2 linked regions of the Xenopus tropicalis genome follow. Each later gene encodes a partner of the first gene's protein in a complex. Links are inferred from orthologs where the notes say so. Each region holds a gene or a part of one and is shown on either strand. Other genes may lie near its edges.

What was found.
Region 2: lamtor1 (region 1) and lamtor5 share a complex: the UniProt entries of both Homo sapiens proteins name them as parts of the ragulator complex. The link is inferred for Xenopus tropicalis from reciprocal best matches to the Homo sapiens genes LAMTOR1 and LAMTOR5.

Annotation. Positions count from the first base shown.
Region 1 is NC_030678.2:178,920,398-178,930,837, reverse strand, and holds the start of lamtor1 (ragulator complex protein LAMTOR1), read left to right. Parts: upstream 1-5,268; 5' UTR 5,269-5,371; coding exon 5,372-5,413; intron 5,414-10,440. UniProt on the Homo sapiens protein: Key component of the Ragulator complex, a multiprotein complex involved in amino acid sensing and activation of mTORC1, a signaling complex promoting cell growth in response to growth factors, energy levels, and amino acids.
Region 2 is NC_030678.2:72,303,249-72,313,758, forward strand, and holds the start of lamtor5 (ragulator complex protein LAMTOR5), read right to left. Parts: upstream 5,770-10,510; 5' UTR 5,678-5,769; coding exon 5,643-5,677; intron 5,291-5,642; exon of another isoform or gene 5,123-5,290; intron 5,093-5,122; exon of another isoform or gene 5,052-5,092; coding exon of another isoform or gene 5,020-5,051; intron 3,610-5,019; coding exon 3,548-3,609; intron 2,201-3,547; coding exon 2,083-2,200; intron 1-2,082. UniProt on the Homo sapiens protein: As part of the Ragulator complex it is involved in amino acid sensing and activation of mTORC1, a signaling complex promoting cell growth in response to growth factors, energy levels, and amino acids.

The sequences.
Region 1 (10,440 bases):
ACTGGGCACAGAGGGAATTATCAGCCATCCCAGCTGGACTGGGCACAGGGGGAATTATCAGCCCCCCCAGCTGGACTGGGCACAGAGGGAATTATCAGCCCCCCCAGCTGGACTGGGCACAGAGGGAATTATCAGCCATCCCAGCTGGACTGGGCAGCAGGGGGAATTATCAGCCACCCCTGCAGTGGACCTGGATGCACAGAGGGAATTATCAGCCACCCCAGCTGGACTGGGCACAGAGGGAATTATCAGCCATCCCAGCTGGACTGGGCACAGGGGGAATTATCAGCCACCCCAGCTGGACTGGGCACAGAGGGAATTATCAGCCATCCCAGCTGGACTGGGCACAGGGGGAATTATCAGCCACCCCAGCTGGACTGGGCACAGAGGGAATTATCAGCCACCCCAGCTGGACTGGGCACAGAGGGAATTTATCAGCCCCCCCAGCTGGACTGGGCACAGGGGGAATTATCAGCCACCTCAGCTGGACTGGGCACAGGGGGAATTATCAGCCACCTCAGCTGGACTGGGCACAGGGGGAATTATCAGCCACCCCAGCTGGACTGGGCACAGAGGGAATTATCAGCCACCCCAGCTGGACTGGGCACAGAGGGAATTATCAGCCCCCCCAGCTGGACTGGGCACAGAGGGGAATTATCAGCCCCCCCAGCTGGACCTGGGCACAGAGGGAATTATCAGCCACCCCAGCTGGACTGGGCACAGAGGGAATTATCAGCCCCCCAGCTGGACTGGGCACAGAGGGAATTATCAGCCCCCCCAGCTGGACTGGGCACAGGGGGAATTATCAGCCACCTCAGCTGGACTGGGCACAGAGGGAATTATCAGCCACCCCAGCTGGACTGGGCACAGAGGGAATTATCAGCCCCCCCAGCTGGACTGGGCACAGAGGGAATTATCAGCCACCCCAGCTGGACTGGGCACAGGGGGAATTATCAGCCACCCCAGCTGGACTGGGCACAGGGGGAATTATCAGCCACCCCAGCTGGACTGGGCACAGAGGGAATTATCAGCCACCCCAGCTGGACTGGGCACAGAGGGAATTATCAGCCACCCCAGCTGGACTGGGCACAGAGGGAATTATCAGCCCCCCCAGCTGGACTGGGCACAGAGGGAATTATCAGCCCCCCCAGCTGGACTGGGCACAGGGGGAATTATCAGCCACCTCAGCTGGACTGGGCACAGAGGGAATTATCAGCCACCCCAGCTGGACTGGGCACAGAGGGAATTATCAGCCACCCCAGCTGGACTGGGCACAGAGGGAATTATCAGCCCCCCCAGCTGGACTGGGCACAGGGGGAATTATCAGCCATCCCAGCTGGACTGGGCACAGGGGGAATTATCAGCCATCCCAGCTGGACTGGGCACAGGGGGAATTATCAGCCACCCCAGCTGGACTGGGCACAGGGGGAATTATCAGCCCCCCCAGCTGGACTGGGCACAGAGGGAATTATCAGCCACCCCAGCTGGACTGGGCACAGAGGGAATTATCAGCCCCCCCAGCTGGACTGGGCACAGGGGGAATTATCAGCCCCCCCAGCTGGACTGGGCACAGGGGGAATTATCAGCCACCTCAGCTGGACTGGGCACAGAGGGAATTATCAGCCACCCCAGCTGGACTGGGCACAGAGGGAATTATCAGCCACCCCAGCTGGACTGGGCACAGAGGGAATTATCAGCCCCCCCAGCTGGACTGGGCACAGGGGGAATTATCAGCCATCCCAGCTGGACTGGGCACAGGGGGAATTATCAGCCATCCCAGCTGGACTGGGCACAGGGGGAATTATCAGCCACCCCAGCTGGACTGGGCACAGGGGGAATTATCAGCCCCCCCAGCTGGACTGGGCACAGAGGGAATTATCAGCCACCCCAGCTGGACTGGGCACAGGGGGAATTATCAGCCACCCCAGCTGGACTGGGCACAGAGGGAATTATCAGCCACCCCAGCTGGACTGGGCACAGAGGGAATTATCAGCCCCCCCAGCTGGACTGGGCACAGGGGGAATTATCAGCCCCCCCAGCTGGACTGGGCACAGGGGGAATTATCAGCCACCCCAGCTGGACTGGGCACAGGGGGAATTATCAGCCATCCCAGCTGGACTGGGCACAGGGGGAATTATCAGCCCCCCCAGCTGGACTGGGCACAGGGGGAATTATCAGCCATCCCAGCTGGACTGGGCACAGGGGGAATTATCAGCCATCCCAGCTGGACTGGGCACAGAGGGAATTATCAGCCACCCCAGCTGGACTGGGCACAGAGGGAATTATCAGCCATCCCAGCTGGACTGGGCACAGGGGGAATTATCAGCCACCCCAGCTGGACTGGGCACAGAGGGAATTATCAGCCACCCCAGCTGGATGGTTGGGCTACTTCCAAAATGGCTTTTGGCTAGTTTGGGGCTGGTTTTAGAACTGACTGGCTGGTTTGGAAAAATAAATATATATATGTGTATAGGGATTAACCTTTATTGCAGTACAAGTCCAGGGGGTTCCCCCTTCCCCTATCGGTGGCCCCCATGCATAGAGCTATAGGCATAACAGGGAATATTACAGGGAAGGGGTTGAACATGATGGGACAGAGAGGGGCTACAGGCACGTGTGGGGCAACATATGGGGCTGAGTTGGACCAAGATGGAGTCCAGGAATCTGTAGGAGAAACAAACCCCCTTATGTAATGGCGCAAACAGTTACTTTTTCATCATATTTTCTGACAAACTGATATTTTAATTGAATTTGTTCATTAATGACTTGAGGTCAGTGTAAGCGGTGTATCTGTGTTTGCTGATGAGATGTAGCACTGAGCTTCACTCCATTTTGAAAATGGCGGGAAAATGCCCTTTAAAAGACAGTCTTTCTTTCCCCACAAATGGGAAAGTGGCGGCTGAGTTGGAATTTAGGCAGATTTCTGTGAGAAAGTGTTTCCGCCAGTTTTCCCACCACTTTTACTGCAAAGAAGACCTCTCTCCCCTCTGTGACTCCCCCCCCAGAGAATGTTGATAAATGGAGGATTCCCCCTACTATAACAGCCCCCCTAGTTATATAGGGCTTGGGGCAAGCAGCAGGCTGTAACCCTGAGTGTTTCAGTCAGTCGGTTAGGATACACCAACCGCCAATATGCAGAAGACAAGATTACGAAAAAACACCCTACAAGTGGGAGGAGGAAGGATAGCTCAGTGGGTAGGGTGCCCGCCTTACACCGATGGGCCCTGAGTTCGATTCCCGCCCTGGGAGCCCTGCCTACATCAATGGGGCTCAGCTCGGATACCCAGTGGGTAGGTGTCAGAACTGAGCCCATTGATATCAGCAGAGCCCCCAGGGCAGGAGTCTAACTCAAGACCCATAAATGTAAGGCAAGCTATGGCAGCACCCACCCACCCACTGGGCCCCTTACCTTGTGACCATGGACAAAGTCACTTAACCTCATAATGTCCCGGCAATGATGGCGCCTAGAAATGGGCAGCACGTTGCTGACTTTTTAATCACTGGCTACATTCACATTTCCCCACAAATTGATAAGTTAGCTGAGCTACAGCGCAGGGGCAATGGGGATTCCCAGTACCCAGAGGCACAAACAGCCCCCCCCCCCAGCCCAATAAATAGTGACTGTCTGTGGCACCTTACAGCCCCCCTGGCATTCCCAGTACCCAGAGGCACAAACAGCCCCCCCAGCCCAATAAATAGTGACTGACTGTGGCACTTTACAGCCCCCCTGGCATTCCCAGTACCCAGAGGCACAAACAGCCCCCCCCCCCAGCCCAATAAATAGTGACTGTCTGTGGCACCTTACAGCCCCCCCTGGCATTCCCAGTACCCAGAGGCACAAACAGCCCCCCCCCCAGCCCAATAAATAGTGACTGTCTGTGGCACCTTACAGCCCCCCTGGCATTCCCAGTACCCAGAGGCACAAACAGCCCCCCCCCCCCAGCCCAATAAATAGTGACTGTCTGTGGCACCTTACAGCCCCCCCTGGCATTCCCAGTACCCAGAGGCACAAACAGCCCCCCCCCCCAGCCCAATAAATAGTGACTGTCTGTGGCACCTTACAGCCCCCCCGGCATTCCCAGTACCCAGAGGCACAAACAGCCCCCCCCCAGCCCAATAAATAGTGACTGACTGTGGCACCTTACAGCCCCCCCGGCATTCCCAGTACCCAGAGGCACAAACAGCCCCCCCCCAGCCCAATAAATAGTGACTGTCTGTGGCACCTTACAGCCCCCCTGGCACTCCCAGTACCCAGAGGCACAAACAGCCCCCCCAGCCCAATAAATAGTGACTGTCTGTGGCACCTTACAGCCCCCCTGGCATTCCCAGTACCCAGAGGCACAAACAGCCCCCCAGCCCAATAAATAGTGACTGTCTGTGGCACCTTACAGCCCCCCTGGCATTCCCAGTACCCAGAGGCACAAACAGCCCCCCCCCCCCCCAGCCCAATAAATAGTGACTGTCTGTGGCACCTTACAGCCCCCCTGGCATTCCCAGTACCCAGAGGCACAAACAGCCCCCCCCCCAGCCCAATAAATAGTGACTGTCTGTGGCACCTTACAGCCCCCCCGGCATTCCCAGTACCCAGAGGCACAAACAGCCCCCCCCCAGCCTAATAAATAGTGACTGTCTGTGGCACCTTACAGCCCCCCTGGCACTCCCAGTACCCAGAGGCACAAACAGCCCCCCCAGCCCAATAAATAGTGACTGTCTGTGGCACCTTACAGCCCCCCTGGCATTCCCAGTACCCAGAGGCACAAACAGCCCCCCCAGCCCAATAAATAGTGACTGTCTGTGGCACCTTACAGCCCCTCTGGCATTCCCAGTACCCAGAGGCACAAACAGCCCCCCCAGCCCAATAAATAGTGACTGTCTGTGGCACCTTACAGCCCCCCTGGCATTCCCAGTACCCAGAGGCACAAACAGCACGGAAGCGGAAGTACAGACCTGCCAGGCTGAGGGCTCAGTGGGGGGATTGCCCGGTTCCGGTCAGTGAATGACCCCCATGCTAGGGAAGGTATGAGGCCTGTTAGTTACTGTAGAACCCGGAAGGGATAAGGGCCAGAGAACAAATTTGCCACATCCACACAAAGGGTTAAGCAAAGCGGCACCAAAGCTGAAGGCCTAGCGCCCCCTGGTGCCAATGGGGTGGGAGCTCTGCGTTTATTTATAGCGACAAAAGTTTACGGAACAAAAATGAAAATCCCGGCGGTTGCCCAGGTAACGCCACGCCCCCAGCTTCCTACTTCCTGTTCTCTGCAGCCCTGGCTCCACCCGGAAGCGGAACTATTGCCTAAGGAGTGCGGCTCCCCCCGGTCATGTGACAGAGAGGCTCGGCTGGCCAGAGCGGGCTGGCCCGGTTCGGTTGGACATGGGCTGTTGCTACAGCGGGGAGACTGACACCGGCAAAGGGGTGAGGCACCGGGGCTGGGGGGGGGGCAGTAACTTTCACTGGGGGGTAAATGGGGCACCTTGTCCTGCTGCATCACGTGACTCCTGCCCTTTAAAGGGAAACTACTTTCTGCTCTTTCCCACAGTTTCACTCACTTTACTGCTCTGTGTGAGTAAGGGCCGCAGTACCCCATGGGCAGTGGGTGGGGCTAGAGCACTGTGATAGCAGCCTATAGGGGGAGGCGCAGGGAGTCTGTAGGGCAAGCAGTGGGTGGGGCTAGAGCACTGTGATGGAAGCCTATAGGGGGAGGGGCAGGGAGTCTGTAGGGCAAGCAGTGGGTGGGGCTAGAGCACTGTGACAGCAGCCTATAGGGGGAGGGGCAGGGAGTCTGTGGGGCAAGCAGTGGGTGGGGCTAGAGCACTGTGACAGCAGCCTATAGGGGGAGGGGCAGGGAGTCTGTAGGGCAAGCAGTGGGTGGGGCTAGAGCACTGTGATAGCAGCCTATAGGGGGAGGGGCAGGGAGTCTGTGGGGCAAGCAGTGGGTGGGGCTAGAGCACTGTAATAGCAGCCTATAGGGGGAGGGGCAGGGAGTCTGTGGGGCAAGCAGTGGGTGGGGCTAGAGCACTGTGATAGCAGCCTATAGGGGGAGGGGCAGGGAGTCTGTGGGGCAAGCAGTGGGTGGGGCTAGAGCACTGTAATAGCAGCCTATAGGGGGAGGGGCAGGGAGTCTGTGGGGCAAGCAGTGGGTGGGGCTAGAACACTATGATGGAAGCCTATAGGGGGAGGGGCAGGGAGTCTGTGGGGCAAGCAGTGGGTGGGGCTAGAGCACTGTGATGGAAGCCTATAGGGGGAGGGGCAGGGAGTCTGTGGGGCAAGCAGTGGGTGGGGCTAGAACACTATGATGGAAGCCTATAGGGGGAGGGGCAGGGAGTCTGTGGGGCAAGCAGTGGGTGGGGCTAGAGCACTGTGACAGCAGCCTATAGGGGGAGGGGCAGGGAGTCTGTAGGGCAAGCAGTGGGTGGGGCTAGAGCACTGTGATAGCAGCCTATAGGGGGAGGGGCAGGGAGTCTGTGGGGCAAGCAGTGGGTGGGGCTAGAGCACTGTGATGGAAGCCTATAGGGGGAGGGGCAGGAGTCTGTGGGGCAAGCAGTGGGTGGGGCTAGAGCACTGTGATGGAAGCCTATAGGGGGAGGGGCAGGGAGTCTGTGGGGCAAGCAGTGGGTGGGGCTAGAGCACTGTGACAGCAGCCTATAGGGGGAGGGGCAGGGAGTCTGTGGAGCAAGCAGTGGGTGGGGCTAGAACACTATGATGGAAGCCTATAGGGGGAGTGGCAGGGAGTCTGTAGGACAAGCAGTGGGTGGGGCTAGAACACCTTGATAGCAGCCTATAGGGGGAGGGGCAGGGAGTCTGTGGGGCAAGCAGTGGGTGGGGCTAGAGCACTGTGATAGCAGCCTATAGGGGGAGGGGCAGGAGACTGTGGGGCAAGCAGTGGGTGGGGCTAGAGCACTGTGATAGCAGCCTATAGGGGGAGGGGCAGGGAGTCTGTGGGGCAAGCAGTGGGTGGGGCTAGAGCACTGTGATAGCAGCCTATAGGGGGAGGGGCAGGGAGTCTGTAGGACAAGCAGTGGGTGGGGCTAGAACACTGTGATGGAAGCCTATAGGGGGAGGGGCAGGGAGTCTGTAGGACAAGCAGTGGGTGGGGCTAGAACACCTTGATAGCAGCCTATAGGGGGAGGAGCAGGGAGTCTGTGGGGCAAGCAGTGGGTGGGGCTAGAGCACTGTGATAGCAGCCTATAGGGGGAGGGGCAGGGAGTCTGTAGGGCAAGAAGTGGGAGGGGCTAGAACACTGTGATAGCAGCCTATAGGGGGAGGGGCAGGAGTCTGTGGGGCAAGCAGTGGGTGGGGCTAGAGCACTGTGATAGCAGCCTATAGGGGGAGGGGCAGGGAGTCTGTGGGGCAAGCAGTGGGTGGGGCTAGAGCACTGTGATAGCAGCCTATAGGGGGAGGGGCAGGGAGTCTGTAGGGCAAGCAGTGGGTGGGGCTAGAGCACTGTGATGGAAGCCTATAGGGGGAGGGGCAGGGAGTCTGTAGGGCAAGCAGTGGGAGGGGCTAGAACACTGTGATAGCAGCCTATAGGGGGAGGGGCAGGAGACTGTGGGGCAAGCAGTGGGTGGGGCTAGAGCACTGTGATAGCAGCCTATAGGGGGAGGGGCAGGGAGTCTGTGGGGCAAGCAGTGGGTGGGGCTAGAGCACTGTGATAGCAGCCTATAAGGGGAGGGGCAGGAGTCTGTGGGGCAAGCAGTGGGAGGGGCTAGAGCACTGTGATAGCAGCCTATAGGGGGAGGGGCAGGGAGTCTGTGGGGCAAGCAGTGGGTGGGGCTAGAGCACTGTGATGGAAGCCTATAGGGGGAGGGGCAGGGAGTCTGTAGGGCAAGCAGTGGGTGGGGCTAGAGCACTGTGATGGAAGCCTATAGGGGGAGGGGCAGGGAGTCTGTGGGGCAAGCAGTGGGTGGGGCTAGAGCACTGTGATAGCAGCCTATAGGGGAGGGGCAGGGAGTCTGTAGGGCAAGCAGTGGGTGGGGATGGAGCACTATGATGGAAGCCTATAGGGGGAGGGGCAGGGAGTCTGTAGGGCAAGCAGTGGGTGGGGCTAGAGCACTGTGATGGAAGCCTATAGGGGGAGAGGCAGGAGTCTGTGGGGCAAGCAGTGGGTGGGGCTAGAACACTGTGATAGCAGCCTATAGGGGGAGGGGCAGGGAGTCTGTGGGGCAAGCAGTGGGTGGGGCTAGAACACTATGATGGAAGCCTATAGGGGAAGGGGCAGGGAGTCTGTAGGGCAAGCAGTGGGTGGGGCTAGAGCACTGTGATGGAAGCCTATAGGGGGAGGGGCAGGGAGTCTGTGTGGCAAGCAGTGGGTGGGGCTAGAACACTGTGATGGAAGCCTATAGGGGGAGGGGCAGGGAGTCTGTGTGGCAAGCAGTGGGTGGGGCTAGAACACTGTGATGGAAGCCTATAGGGGGAGGGGCAGGGAGTCTGTGGGGCAAGCAGTGGGTGGGGCTAGAACACTGTGATTGAAGCCTATAGGGGGAGGGGCAGGGAGTCTGTGGGGCAAGCAGTGGGTGGGGCTAGAACACTGTGATGGAAGCCTATAAGGGGAGGGGCAGGGAGTCTGTGTGGCAAGCAGTGGGTGGGGCTAGAGCACTGTGATGGAAGCCTATAGGGGGAGGGGCAGGGAGTCTGTAGGGCAAGCAGTGGGTGGGGCTAGAACACTGTGATGGAAGCCTATAGGGGGAGGGGCAGGGAGTCTGTGTGGCAAGCAGTGGGTGGGGCTAGAACACTGTGATGGAAGCCTATAGGGGGAGGGGCAGGGAGTCTGTGTGGCAAGCAGTGGGTGGGGCTAGAGCACTGTGATGGAAGCCTATAGGGGGAGGGGCAGGGAGTCTGTGTGGCAAGCAGTGGGTGGGGCTAGAACACTGTGATGGAAGCCTATAGGGGGAGGGGCAGGGAGTCTGTGTGGCAAGCAGTGGGTGGGGCTAGAACACTATGATGGAAGCCTATAGGGGGAGGGGCAGGGAGTCTGTGGGGCAAGCAGTGGGTGGGGCTAGAACACTGTGATGGAAGCCTATAGGGGGAGGGGCAGGGAGTCTGTGTGGCAAGCAGTGGGTGGGGCTAGAACACTGTGATGGAAGCCTATAGGGGGAGGGGCAGGGAGTCTGTAGGGCAAGCAGTGGGTGGGGCTAGAACACTGTGATTGAAGCCTATAGGGGGAGGGGCAGGGAGTCTGTGGGGCAAGCAGTGGGTGGGGCTAGAACACTGTGATGGAAGCCTATAAGGGGAGGGGCAGGGAGTCTGTGTGGCAAGCAGTGGGTGGGGCTAGAACACTGTGATGGAAGCCTATAGGGGGAGGGGCAGGGAGTCTGTAGGGCAAGCAGTGGGTGGGGATAGAACACTATGATAGCAGCCTATAGGGGGAGGGGCAGGGAGTCTGTGGGGCAAGCAGTGGGTGGGGCTAGAGCACTGTGATGGAAGCCTATAGGGGGAGGGGCAGGGAGTCTGTGGGGCAAGCAGTGGGTGGGGCTAGAGCACTGTGATGGAAGCCTATAGGGGGAGGGGCAGGGAGTCTGTGGGGCAAGCAGTGGGTGGGGCTAGAACACTATGATGGAAGCCTATAGGGGGAGGGGCAGAGAGTCTGTAGGGCAAGCAGTGGGTGGGGCTAGAACACTGTGATGGAAGCCTATAGGGGGGAGGGGCAGGGAGTCTGTGTGGCAAGCAGTGGGTGGGGCTAGAGCACTGTGATGGAAGCCTATAGGGGGAGGGGCAGGAGTCTGTGTGGCAAGCAGTGGGTGGGGCTAGAACACTGTGATGGAAGCCTATAGGGGGAGGGGCAGGGAGTCTGTGGGGCAAGCAGTGGGTGGGGCTAGAACACTGTGATGGAAGCCTATAGGGGGAGGGGCAGGGAGTCTGTGGGGCAAGCAGTGGGTGGGGCTAGAACACTATGATGGAAGCCTATAGGGGGAGGGGCAGGGAGTCTGTGGGGCAAGCAGTGGGTGGGGCTAGAGCACTGTGATGGAAGCCTATAGGGGGAGGGGCAGGAGTCTGTGGGGCAAGCAGTGGGTGGGGCTAGAGCACTGTGATGGAAGCCTATAGGGGGAGGGGCAGGAGTCTGTGGGGCAAGCAGTGGGAGGGGCTAGAGCACTGTGATGAAAGCCTATAGGGGGAGGGGCAGGGAGTCTGTGGGGCAAGCAGTGGGTGGGGCTAGAACACTGTGATGGAAGCCTATAGGGGGAGGGGCAGGGAGTCTGTAGGGCAAGCAGTGGGTGGGGCTAGAACACTATGATAGCAGCCTATAGGGGGAGGGGCAGGGAGTCTGTGGGGCAAGCAGTGGGTGGGGCTAGAGCACTATGATGGAAGCCTATAGGGGGAGGGGCAGGGAGTCTGTGGGGCAAGCAGTGGGTGGGGCTAGAGCACTGTGATGGAAGCCTATAGGGGGAGGGGCAGGGAGTCTGTAGGGCAAGCAGTGGGTGGGGCTAGAACACTATGATGGAAGC
Region 2 (10,510 bases), about 110 Mb from region 1:
GACAAAATTCTCCAGATTGCCCCATCCATTCATTGTTAATTGAAAGCTTCTGATATAGTTTTGTATGGGCAATTATCTCCCTAAGCTTAGCTTCTTAAAAGCACCCCAGAGTACAGTGAGGATATGCAGGGCCACTAGCAGGTAAAATGTGGCTTAACAAAATCAAAGTTTGCACACCTTTTTGACATGAGCTCATTCAATTAGCCGTATGTAGACATGATGTATAAATACTATCTGTACTTCCAGAAATACATTTTAAATGTAGTTTATTATTTACAATGGAACAATGCGAGGGAGGGATTGGATCACTGGCAGCCTAAAGCTGGCTATACACAAGCAGATAAAAGCTGTAGATGAATGCTTATAGGCCCATCCATGGGGCCCTCAGAGGGGCCTGCCTGACCGATATCTGGCCAAAAATAATCCAGTTGTTGATCAGGCAAGTTTAAAAATACCTTTAGGGCAAAAAAAAATGTTGGCTCGTTGATGCGGTCCTTACCTCAATGTCCTGCATACCACTAATGCGATCTGATGGGAAATAATCTGCTCATTGGTGGTTCTTTCCACGTTGGCCAAGCTTAAGGTAGGTAAGAAACTGGCCCCTGCAGCAACAGCTGACTATCATGTTTTACTTTCAGTTAGTGTAATGTCAGTGTAAAAAAGTTCTAGAAGTTCAAATACTGTTAATGCTCCTTTTCTAACTGAACCCAACTGAATGAGATCATGTCAAAGAGTATATTTTCCCTTAAAAAAAACAATTCCCTGGTTCATGTTATAAATATACTGTCAAAATTCCCATGATTGAAAAACTGATTGTATCACTTTAACTTCAATAAAGTTGCACAAAATTCCCTTTTGCTGCCCCTTTGTGAATGTACCAGGGAGTATTTCTTCCAAGTTGAGCCATAAAAATACCTGTGTGCACTGCCAACTTTAGACCAGTGTTAAACACAGGACAATATGAGCAACAAAGCTGTACTGTACTACTGCAATGCTCCTTATTTCTGTGTAGCCCACTTTGACATCAGCTGTGAATTACTTTGGTCAGCCTAAAAGCAATTCCTTAATTACTGTTGTTCTCCAGTATTAACATTGTTACAGTTTTGTTTTGGCAAAGCTACCCATATATTAGTTCAGCTAACTTGATTCTATACACACAATTTTTTAGTTTGTAGAAAATCTAGCATAAAACAGGTGAAAATGAATGTAGCTTGTAAATGTGATACTATTCACTAACCAGAGAATAGAGAATGCAGTTGAAAAGGTACGTATTTTGGTAGAAATAATATAAATGCAAGTTACACGCTTAATGGTAGTGTGTTGGGGTATTCTTGACTGAAAATTATCTGGGGATTTTTAAGATTAGTTGTCTAATTCCAGGATGAAAAACACAATTTTGCCTCTTTATAGGTCTCTGGTAAGGCCTCACCTTGAGTATGCAGTGCAATTTTGGGCTCCAGTCCTTAAGAAGGATATTAATGAGCTGGAGAGAGTGTAGAGATGTGAAACTGAACTGGTAAAGGGGAAGGAAGACTTAAACTATGAGGTTAGACTGTCAAGGTTGGGGTTGTTTTCTCTGGAAAAAAGGAGAGGGGGTTATAGACTGATTGGTGGTATTGTTTTTTTCCCATAACCCCAAAACGATCAGTGCACTGCACTAGAGGCCACCCCTTTAGATTAGAGGAAGGGAACTTTCATTTAGGTGCTTAGGTGTTTTTGTTTTTTTTTTACAGTGAGGTTGTGGAATGCCCTTCCTAGTGATGATGTAATGGCAGATTCTGTTAATGTCTTTAAGAGGGGCCTGGATGAGGTCTTGAACAAGCATAGTATCCAAGGCTATTGTGATACTAAAATCTACAGTTAGTATTGATGTTGGTATATATAGTTTATGTATGTAAGTATATAGATAGGTCAGTATGGGTCTATGTGTGTGCACTAGGCTTCACTTGGAAGGGTTGAGCTTGATGGTCTTTTTGCAACCCAACTTACCTAAGTAACAACAAAAAGAAAACAAGTAATGGCTTAATTATTGTCCTGTAGATATATATTCTGGATTCTCTAACTGTATGAAAATGGCCTCACCCGTTGTCAGATTCTAGGCATACAACTGGCACATCTGTGGGGTCTGACGTAAGTTTGGCTGCATACTGAGGAAGAATGGAGATCACACCAGCATGTTTATCGGAAAGGCTTCCACAACCTTCAAGAAAAATAATATATATTTTTTTTTTTTTAATACTCAACCACTAAAAGTTTGGGGGACAGATTTGGGGTTGAAAAAACAAGTGAGCAGCAGTAGAAATACTATAGTGCATTGTTTTAGTTCCTGGAGAAGTGGAACATGAAGCACTTAATACAATCACATTAATAATGCATTTTAGAAAGAAGAAAGTGTAACCTTCTAAAATATAAGCATCTTAAAATACAGACAATTAAATAGGAATGCATGCTAACCAATGGTACACCTCAAGTAATTGGCTCTTATTACATCCTACTACTGTAGTGTATAGGTCTCATGACACTGCATGGTCATGACACTGCAATGGTTCTTTCAAATATCTACAGAGACTAGGGCATGGAAAGGCAACACTTGGCTTAAGGAGAAGAATCTTTACTTTTTCAGGATTTACTAAATTGTTCATATTCTGGATACATTTTTCCACTAAAATATGTTACCCTTTATATATGTATAGCACTAACATATCATTCACTTCAGTCTGTCCCAGTGGAGCTTATTGTCATGAGAGAATTTTCATTAGCCTACCCAAACCTACCCTACACCTCCAAAAAAAAGTTTGTTTTTTTTTTTTTTTTTTTTTTAAAAAAGGCAGCCTCAAGGACAGGTTTGCAAGTGCTAAGCCACTGCTGATTTCAGAGGGAAAGTGAACCTTGTGATCACGAGTATTTTGTGGTGGGAGCACAAAGACTCAGCAACGCAGGTACAGAAGCTTCTGTTCTTGGCTTTTGGCATATATTGTCTGCTGCTGTCAGGGGCCCCAAGAGAATTAAAAACACAAGTAGGGTGGGGCTTGCATGGAGTAGGCAGGGTTTTGGACTAATGAAGCATGATGAGGGGATCAGGGGCATGGTTGTGTGTGTGCAGGCCATGGTGCCTTCAGCCCAGGTGACCAATGGATTAAAAACCTATTGTGTTACTTAACAGGGTTTACCAAAGGGGTCAGTACCCCCATGCAAGAGTCTGTTTGTTTCTACTGACTCTTTCACAGATTACTTTGGCTGCAGAGTAACAGATAGCAATCTCCATAAAAGGGAGAGGGAGCCTTCACATAAGACAAATATTGGAAGTTCAGCAGCTACACCAAATGGTCAAAGGTAATTCTCAGAGCAACGTAATTAATATAAAGCTGTTCCTCCGTTTGCTGCTATAATAGCCTCTACTCTTCTGGGAAGGATTTCCACAGCTGTTTATTTGAATTAAGCCTAAAAATGAATTTGTTAACCTTACTCAGAGTGTTCCTCAGAGTACTTTTGCAATTTACATCAATTTTCAATATTATACACAAAACCAATGTAAAAGGGTACTCACATCCCAGACTTAGCCCCTGTGAATCTGTACACAGAACTCCAACAATTGATGGATTTTTCATTCTGAAAAAGTAAGGAACGGCAAAACACTTGTGTCAAGATACCAAACAAATACTGGTTACCTATCTGAAAGCTATTTCAGCTATATCATCTCTACTAGTTCATAGGATATTATAGATATAGATTATTATAGATTAACCAAACAAATTTAAAAAGTGATAGAGTGGCCATAGCTGCCATTTTGTCCTTATAGTCAGGGGAAAAGAAAGATGATGTTGCAAAGTTTAGACAATTAGTCAGTCTCTGATGTTTCTTGTGTCAGTATTAAACAACACAACTTTTCTCAGAAATATATATATACTTCCAAATAGATGCCGGCACTCACTCACTCAGGTCCAAAAATTATTGAATATACTGGAGGAAGTGTCAGTACTCGCAGGACTTGTTGTTTTATTATATAGGAGACTAAAATTTCGGCTAGCACTCTAGCCTTTATCAAAGTGGTGAATACAACAAACTCAGTGTCTAAAAAGCACACAGTGGTGGGAAAAAGTGGAGATGACGTAATCCTACGTTACCAGACAGAGATCAAAATTATATCAAAAATAAATAATAACAAAAATTATATAGACAGGCAATAAAAAAAGAATACTAAATGGACAAAATAGAAAGTACAAGAGAATAACCACAAGGTCTAAGAAGAGTAACACTTTTTATGAAGCTAGATGTCAGGGATGTACCGTGAAAGTCAGAATATTAGAGTAAAATAGTCAGAAATATAATCAAGTGTTTAAATAAAGTTGAATCTTGGTTAAGGAATCAATAATATGTGATCGCACTGTGGGCAGATCGATCTGTGCAACCCGTTTATTAAACACCTCTATACAGATCATGCACTAGAAAATACTCACTAGCAGAGGATCAAGACCATGAATGTATTTGTTAAGTAAAATTCCAGGTGTAGAGTCAAACAAGGAAGCCACATGGTTGTGTGTCTGCTTGGACACAAACACACATCTATATATACACTTATTTACAGACCTATATGTACACACGTGTTGTTGCACATATACACATACAATTACACACATATTGATGCACATATATACACATGTGCACCTAAATATTTACTTATATATGTGTCTATATGTGCACATATATAAGCACTTTCATACACACATACGCATGTATATATGAGCACCTATGCACGCACCAATGAATACAGATATATATATATATATATATATACACACAATTGCAATAAAGGTTAGCACTCACAGGACTTTGGTTAATATTCACCAAAAAAGTTTTTTAGCAATATCTTACATGGTTTTTATTAATCCGACGTTTCAGCTCCACACAAGAGCCAGTATGCCTGACTCCATCAAAACATGCACAGCCCCCATCCCTTTCAGTTATGCCACTTTGCCCACCTACACAACTCCACTCCATCATCCTCCTCACATAACCTACCTGCCAGCCACTTGTGCCATTTCCTTACACATAACTGCATGGCCACCTCTGCCACCCAATTCACCTACACAGTTTCATGAGCCTTCTCACCCCCAATAAGGATTTACATGCAGTTAACTCATGACTCCCCAAACCTCCATGCCTGATATTGCACTGCTTCCTCCTAACAAAAACTCCAAGGCCTCCTCTGCTTTTCGAGTAAACCCCTCCAACAACTTCCTTGCAATTAATCTGTGCATCCGAATTTACATCCCCTCTTCAACTGCCTACCCGCCTAACAGCAACAACATGGTCGTTACCTTGTGTAACTAATAGCTCACACTTATGCTTATACCCCCTCCCCCAGATGCCCCAGTCTCCGAATGAACAGTGACAGTGTTCACCGCTTCCTCCCCCCACGATTTCCTCTCCTGAGTGAGATCACGCATGTAGGAATGATTAAAAATAAGAGAATCTGAACTATTACCAGCAAACTTAAAGACACGTTACGAAATTCAAGTTCTGAAGTGCATTTCTGTCTGTTTGAATTATTTCTGTTCTTTCGCTTTAAATGTCCTGATTTTACTAATTGAAAAAAACCAATTAATTTTATTTTCCTTAGTATGTGTTTACAGAGCACTCACGTATCTTCCAAATGCTGCTCCAGAGCCGCTTCCATAGCTGAGTCTCTTCTTCCTGTCAAAAAAACCTTAAAGCAGTTCCTCTTCCGGGTGTTTGCTCATGTGACCCTCCCGGTCAGCTGACTGTTAGACAGAAGGTGGGGCTAATGGGAGTTTTCGTTTGCAGTATTTGAAGCTCTGGCGCTATTAAGAAAAATCAATGAATGAAAAATACTATTAATATGCTTTGGCTTAATGGTGGTTCCGCTACAATGCACAATGCTTCATACAAAGCTAACATACTCTGAGAATAGGTTTCTTGATTACTGTTTTTACTGGCCTGACAGTAGGATTCTTGTCCATTTTGGTTTCTTGACTTCCTTTTGCAATTTAGTGTTTACAGAGGGTTAACTGACTTTGGGTGTCACGTGGGTTAATGTCCAGAGTGAATTTTACACCCAGTTCCATGGAGCTCTAGATTTGTTACTGCACATGACGTTGTTTCTTCTCCCAAATGGATGTGGTGGGCTTCAATCAAAGGAAATAAAATATTTCTAAAATATATATTAAAGGGTTTGTTCACCTTAGTTAAGTTAAGTGGCTATTGATAAACATAACCACAGAGTTTGTGAATGTGGTAAGAACTGAAAGCTCTACTGGGGCAAGGACAGATGTAAATTCCCCCTACTACTACCTGCCCAATCCTTAACTTGCATGTTATTCCTCACCTCATGCTGGATTGTTTATTAGGCCTAGGGTGCAGAGTGCAACCAGAAGCTTGACAGAAGTGGTCTTTTGAATGAGAAACTAAGAGTTATGCTATTGGACTTATGTCCGGGTCATATAAAAATGATCACTATTCACTTTCAATTCTTGTGCCACTCGGCACAAATGGTGGTTTTTGCCAGACTGTTCAATAAAAAACAGGAGAGGGTGCCCTTGCATAGAGTAGCATGCATTTATTCTAACAGGATGCTCCCACAGTTAAGGGTATGGGCCCAAACGGCTTAGTGTCAAGATTTTTCAATATTTTACGAGAAAACCCATCCTATACTAGCATATGGGAAAACACAGATACAGTTACATTCTTTACATAAGCTCACATTGCAGTCACGCTGTAATAGGGTAAAACACTACAATACTCTAGGCTGCTACAAGCTTATCTCTCTCTTGAACACTAAAGGTGGCCATACACAGGCTGATTGTAGCTGCCGGATATTGGTCCCTTGGACTGATTCGGCAGCTTATCGGCCCGTGTAGGGGCAGCAACGACTGCCTGCCCGACTGATAGCTGGCCTAAAATTGCCAGATATAGATCGGCAGGTTAAAAAATTCAGTTGGATCGGCGACCGTATCGGCTCGTTGATGTGGTCCCCCAACCGACTGGCTCCCCAGGGCCAAATGACCGAATTAACCTAAATTCCCCCGATATCGCCACCTGTTGATGGGGATATCGGGAGAAGGGACCTCGAAAGGCGAGCGGATCTTTAAGTATGGCCACCTTAAACATTTGTTTGTGGAAAAGGAGCAAGGCAACAAACAATTTAAATGTTCTGTTTTACAGAAATTACACAGGTAAATGAAATATAATTACATAAGTACTAGATATAACCAGCAGATGGTGCTATTGCTTAAAATTTTACTAAGAGCAACTTTACTTCGCTTTTTTTGAGGCTCTCAAACAAACGAATGTAATGTTACTATATTTCGTTTAGGCTTATGGCCCACGAGGAAGCTTTGCGCGACTTCGGAAAGCTGAAGCTATGTGTAGGCCTTTCCACAGGTAACTCCTACTGTTGCCGGTGGAAAGACATTTCTGACATTTCTCATGTTAAATCATCTTGCCGATGATTTATTATTGATCATTCAAAATGTTAATAACTCGCTTTAAGAAATCTTTATTTTTTTACATGATTGTGGTTCATTTTTGGAGGTACAAAATTAACGCTCACAAGACTGAAACTAGAAAGGGAAGTTTGAGAATAAACTTCATGTTGGTTTGAAAAACATAAAGTCACTGAATGAAATCTGATATGTTGTTGACTTGGTCCACTTTTTCTAACCTTGGACCCACAGTTATATAGTAAAAAACACTCTGCAAAGTTTGGAGACCCTGGTTTTAATAGTGTCTAAATGGCAGCAATTTAAATTTCCCCACTGAAAGTCAACAAGTGACATCTGATTGGCGGTTGGTGGCTCTGCCCATTTGTTCTAATCTGGAACTGCAGTTACCCAGTGACTAACTCTGCAAAGTTTAGGGACCCTAGGATTAATAGTTACAGAACGGCAGCAGTTTAAATTTAAACCAATAAAAGTCAATAGGTGAATTGTAAATGGTGGTTGGTGGGTGTGCCCGCTTTTTCTAACCTTTAGTCAAAGTCACCCAGTGACTAACAGTGGGCACCTTGGCATAAATAGTGTGAGAATGGCAGCATTTTAAATTGAAACCAATAAAATTCAATGGATGAACTGTGATTGACTATTAGTGGCCCAACCCAGTTTTGCTATTTTTGAACTGCAGTCTCCAATGACCAACTTTGCAAAGTTTGGGGACATAAAAATTGTGGGACTGCATTTTACACTTCACCATTGAAAATCAATAGGTAAAATCTGATTGGCTGTTGGTGACCCTGCCCACTTAAAAAAAAACAAAATACGTATACAAAACTTGAATACGTAGTCACCAAGTGACTGACAGTGCAAAGTTTGGGAAGCCTGGCATTAAACCAATAAAATTCAATAGGTGAAATTTGATTGGCTGCTGGTGGCTCCGCCCAATGGAGCCTAACTCTGCAAAGTTTGGGGACCCGTCGTTATTACTGTGAGAATGGCAGCAGGTTGAATTTTGGCCAAGTCAATAGGTAAAATCTGATTGGCTTTTCACAGCTCCGCCCACTTTCGGGCATCCAACAATCATCATATTTTCATTCAGGCTGACCCCATGACTATGTGATTCAAGTTTGGGGAGTGTAGCCTCAAATCTGTAAGACTGGCAGCAGATTCAATTTCCCCATTAAAGTCAATGGGTGAAATTTGATTGGCTGTTGTTGGCCCCTCCCATTTTGGGTCATCCAACAAATGTTTCCGTTTCATTCGGAGTGACCCCATTATTATATTATTTAAGTTTGTGGGCTGTAGCTTCAAAGTTGTAAGAGTGGCAGCAGTTTGAAAATCTTCCCTGTCAAAGTCAATGTGAAAATTAGGGGGTTCGGAGCAGCGCCACAAGACAGGGGGTGGGATCGCTTGGAAAAGCACAAGCAACCTGCTCCGCTATAGGGCGAAGAAGTGTGGGGAGTCCTCTAAAACTGTAGGAGGAGTAGCATTTAGAAAATGGGGAGCGCTAAGAATAAAAAGAAGAAGAAAAAGCGGAAGAATAAGCTGAAGTTGAAGAACAGTATGTTGGGTTTTTCAACCGAACATAACATTAATGTTACTATACCCAATGTGCAAGAAAAGAGAAACGGAGAAACACCATTGCTGGTGGTCCCTATTCAGAATTCAACCAACTGCACCATTACCCTTGCTCAGTGCTGTCCAACTGGCGGCCCGCGACCCCACCTGTCTGGCTGCTTTGACAACTTACCTTTGTGTAAGCTTTTTTTTGTCATTAATTTTTTTTTATTGTTTTATAGCAATCAGTTAAACATTTTACGTTCCATACATAAAGTTGCATTCTTTTTTGTTTTTTCCAGTCATTAACATTTAGGAAGTAATGTCGTGGTGTACCTTTGTGTAAGCTTTAAATGGTATCAGTACTGCCCCCCTGCATGGTTAACACCTCAGATTCAGGCTGTAAACCCTCTGTATTGTTTAAAAATGTAATCCCCTGTGTTGTTCACACCTTTTAATCCCTACATTGTTCACCCCCTGCAGTATACACTATAAAAAGAACTTATACTGAGGTGGTACTGCAATTAAAAAGTTTTTTAATATATAGTTATTGTGCAGACTGTAGGAGCAGTGGCAGCATTGTGTCACTGTAGGCTGCCTGTGTGCCATACTCTGCCTGCCCTATGCTGCCTGTGTGTGCCATACACACAGGCAGGGTAGGGAAGGCAGAGTATGGCACACACAGTCAAAGTATGGCACACACAGGCAGCATAGGACAGACAGAGTATGGCACACACAGGCAGGGTAGGGAAGGCAGAGTATGGCACACACAGGCAGGGTAGGGAAGGCAAAGTATGGCACACACAGGCAGCATAGGGCAGACAGAGTATGGCACACACAGGCAGGGCAGGGTAGGGAAGGCAAAGTATGGCACACACAGGCAGGGTGGGGCAGGCAGAGTATGGTGCACACAGGCTGGGTAGGGAAGGCAGAGTATGGCAAACACAGGCAGGGTAGGGAAGGCAGAGTATGGCACACTCCTTTCAATATGTGCCTAGTGGCAAAGTGTCTGTGATGGCAATTTGGGTGCAACTGATTATACAGACACATGGGATGTTTTGCATTTTCACCTATCTTTATAAATTATTTCCTTGGTTTCCTTAGCAGGTTGCTACACTCCCAAATGACTTGCACCTTAAATTGGGACAAATATGTGCAGAATAATTCCCAAAACACCTGATGCTGGTGCCTGTAAATGTCTACATGTGTGTCTATTTAGTGCTGCATTAAAACTTGGGACCCTCCTGGGAAAAAGATCTGGGTCACACAATTGATGAAAAGGATTGGCTTAAAATATGGGACCAAGCAGCACATAGCTCAATTAACACTGCCCTGCTGGAAGCGGGATACAAAGTCCTTTTACGTTGGTACCTGATCCCAGCTAGGCTACATAAAATAAACAACCAATACAATACAACGCAATGTTTCAGAAACTGTAGAGGGGAAGGCACGGTTTATCACATATGGTGGCAGTGCCCCAGGGTTCAAAGATTTTGGACTAG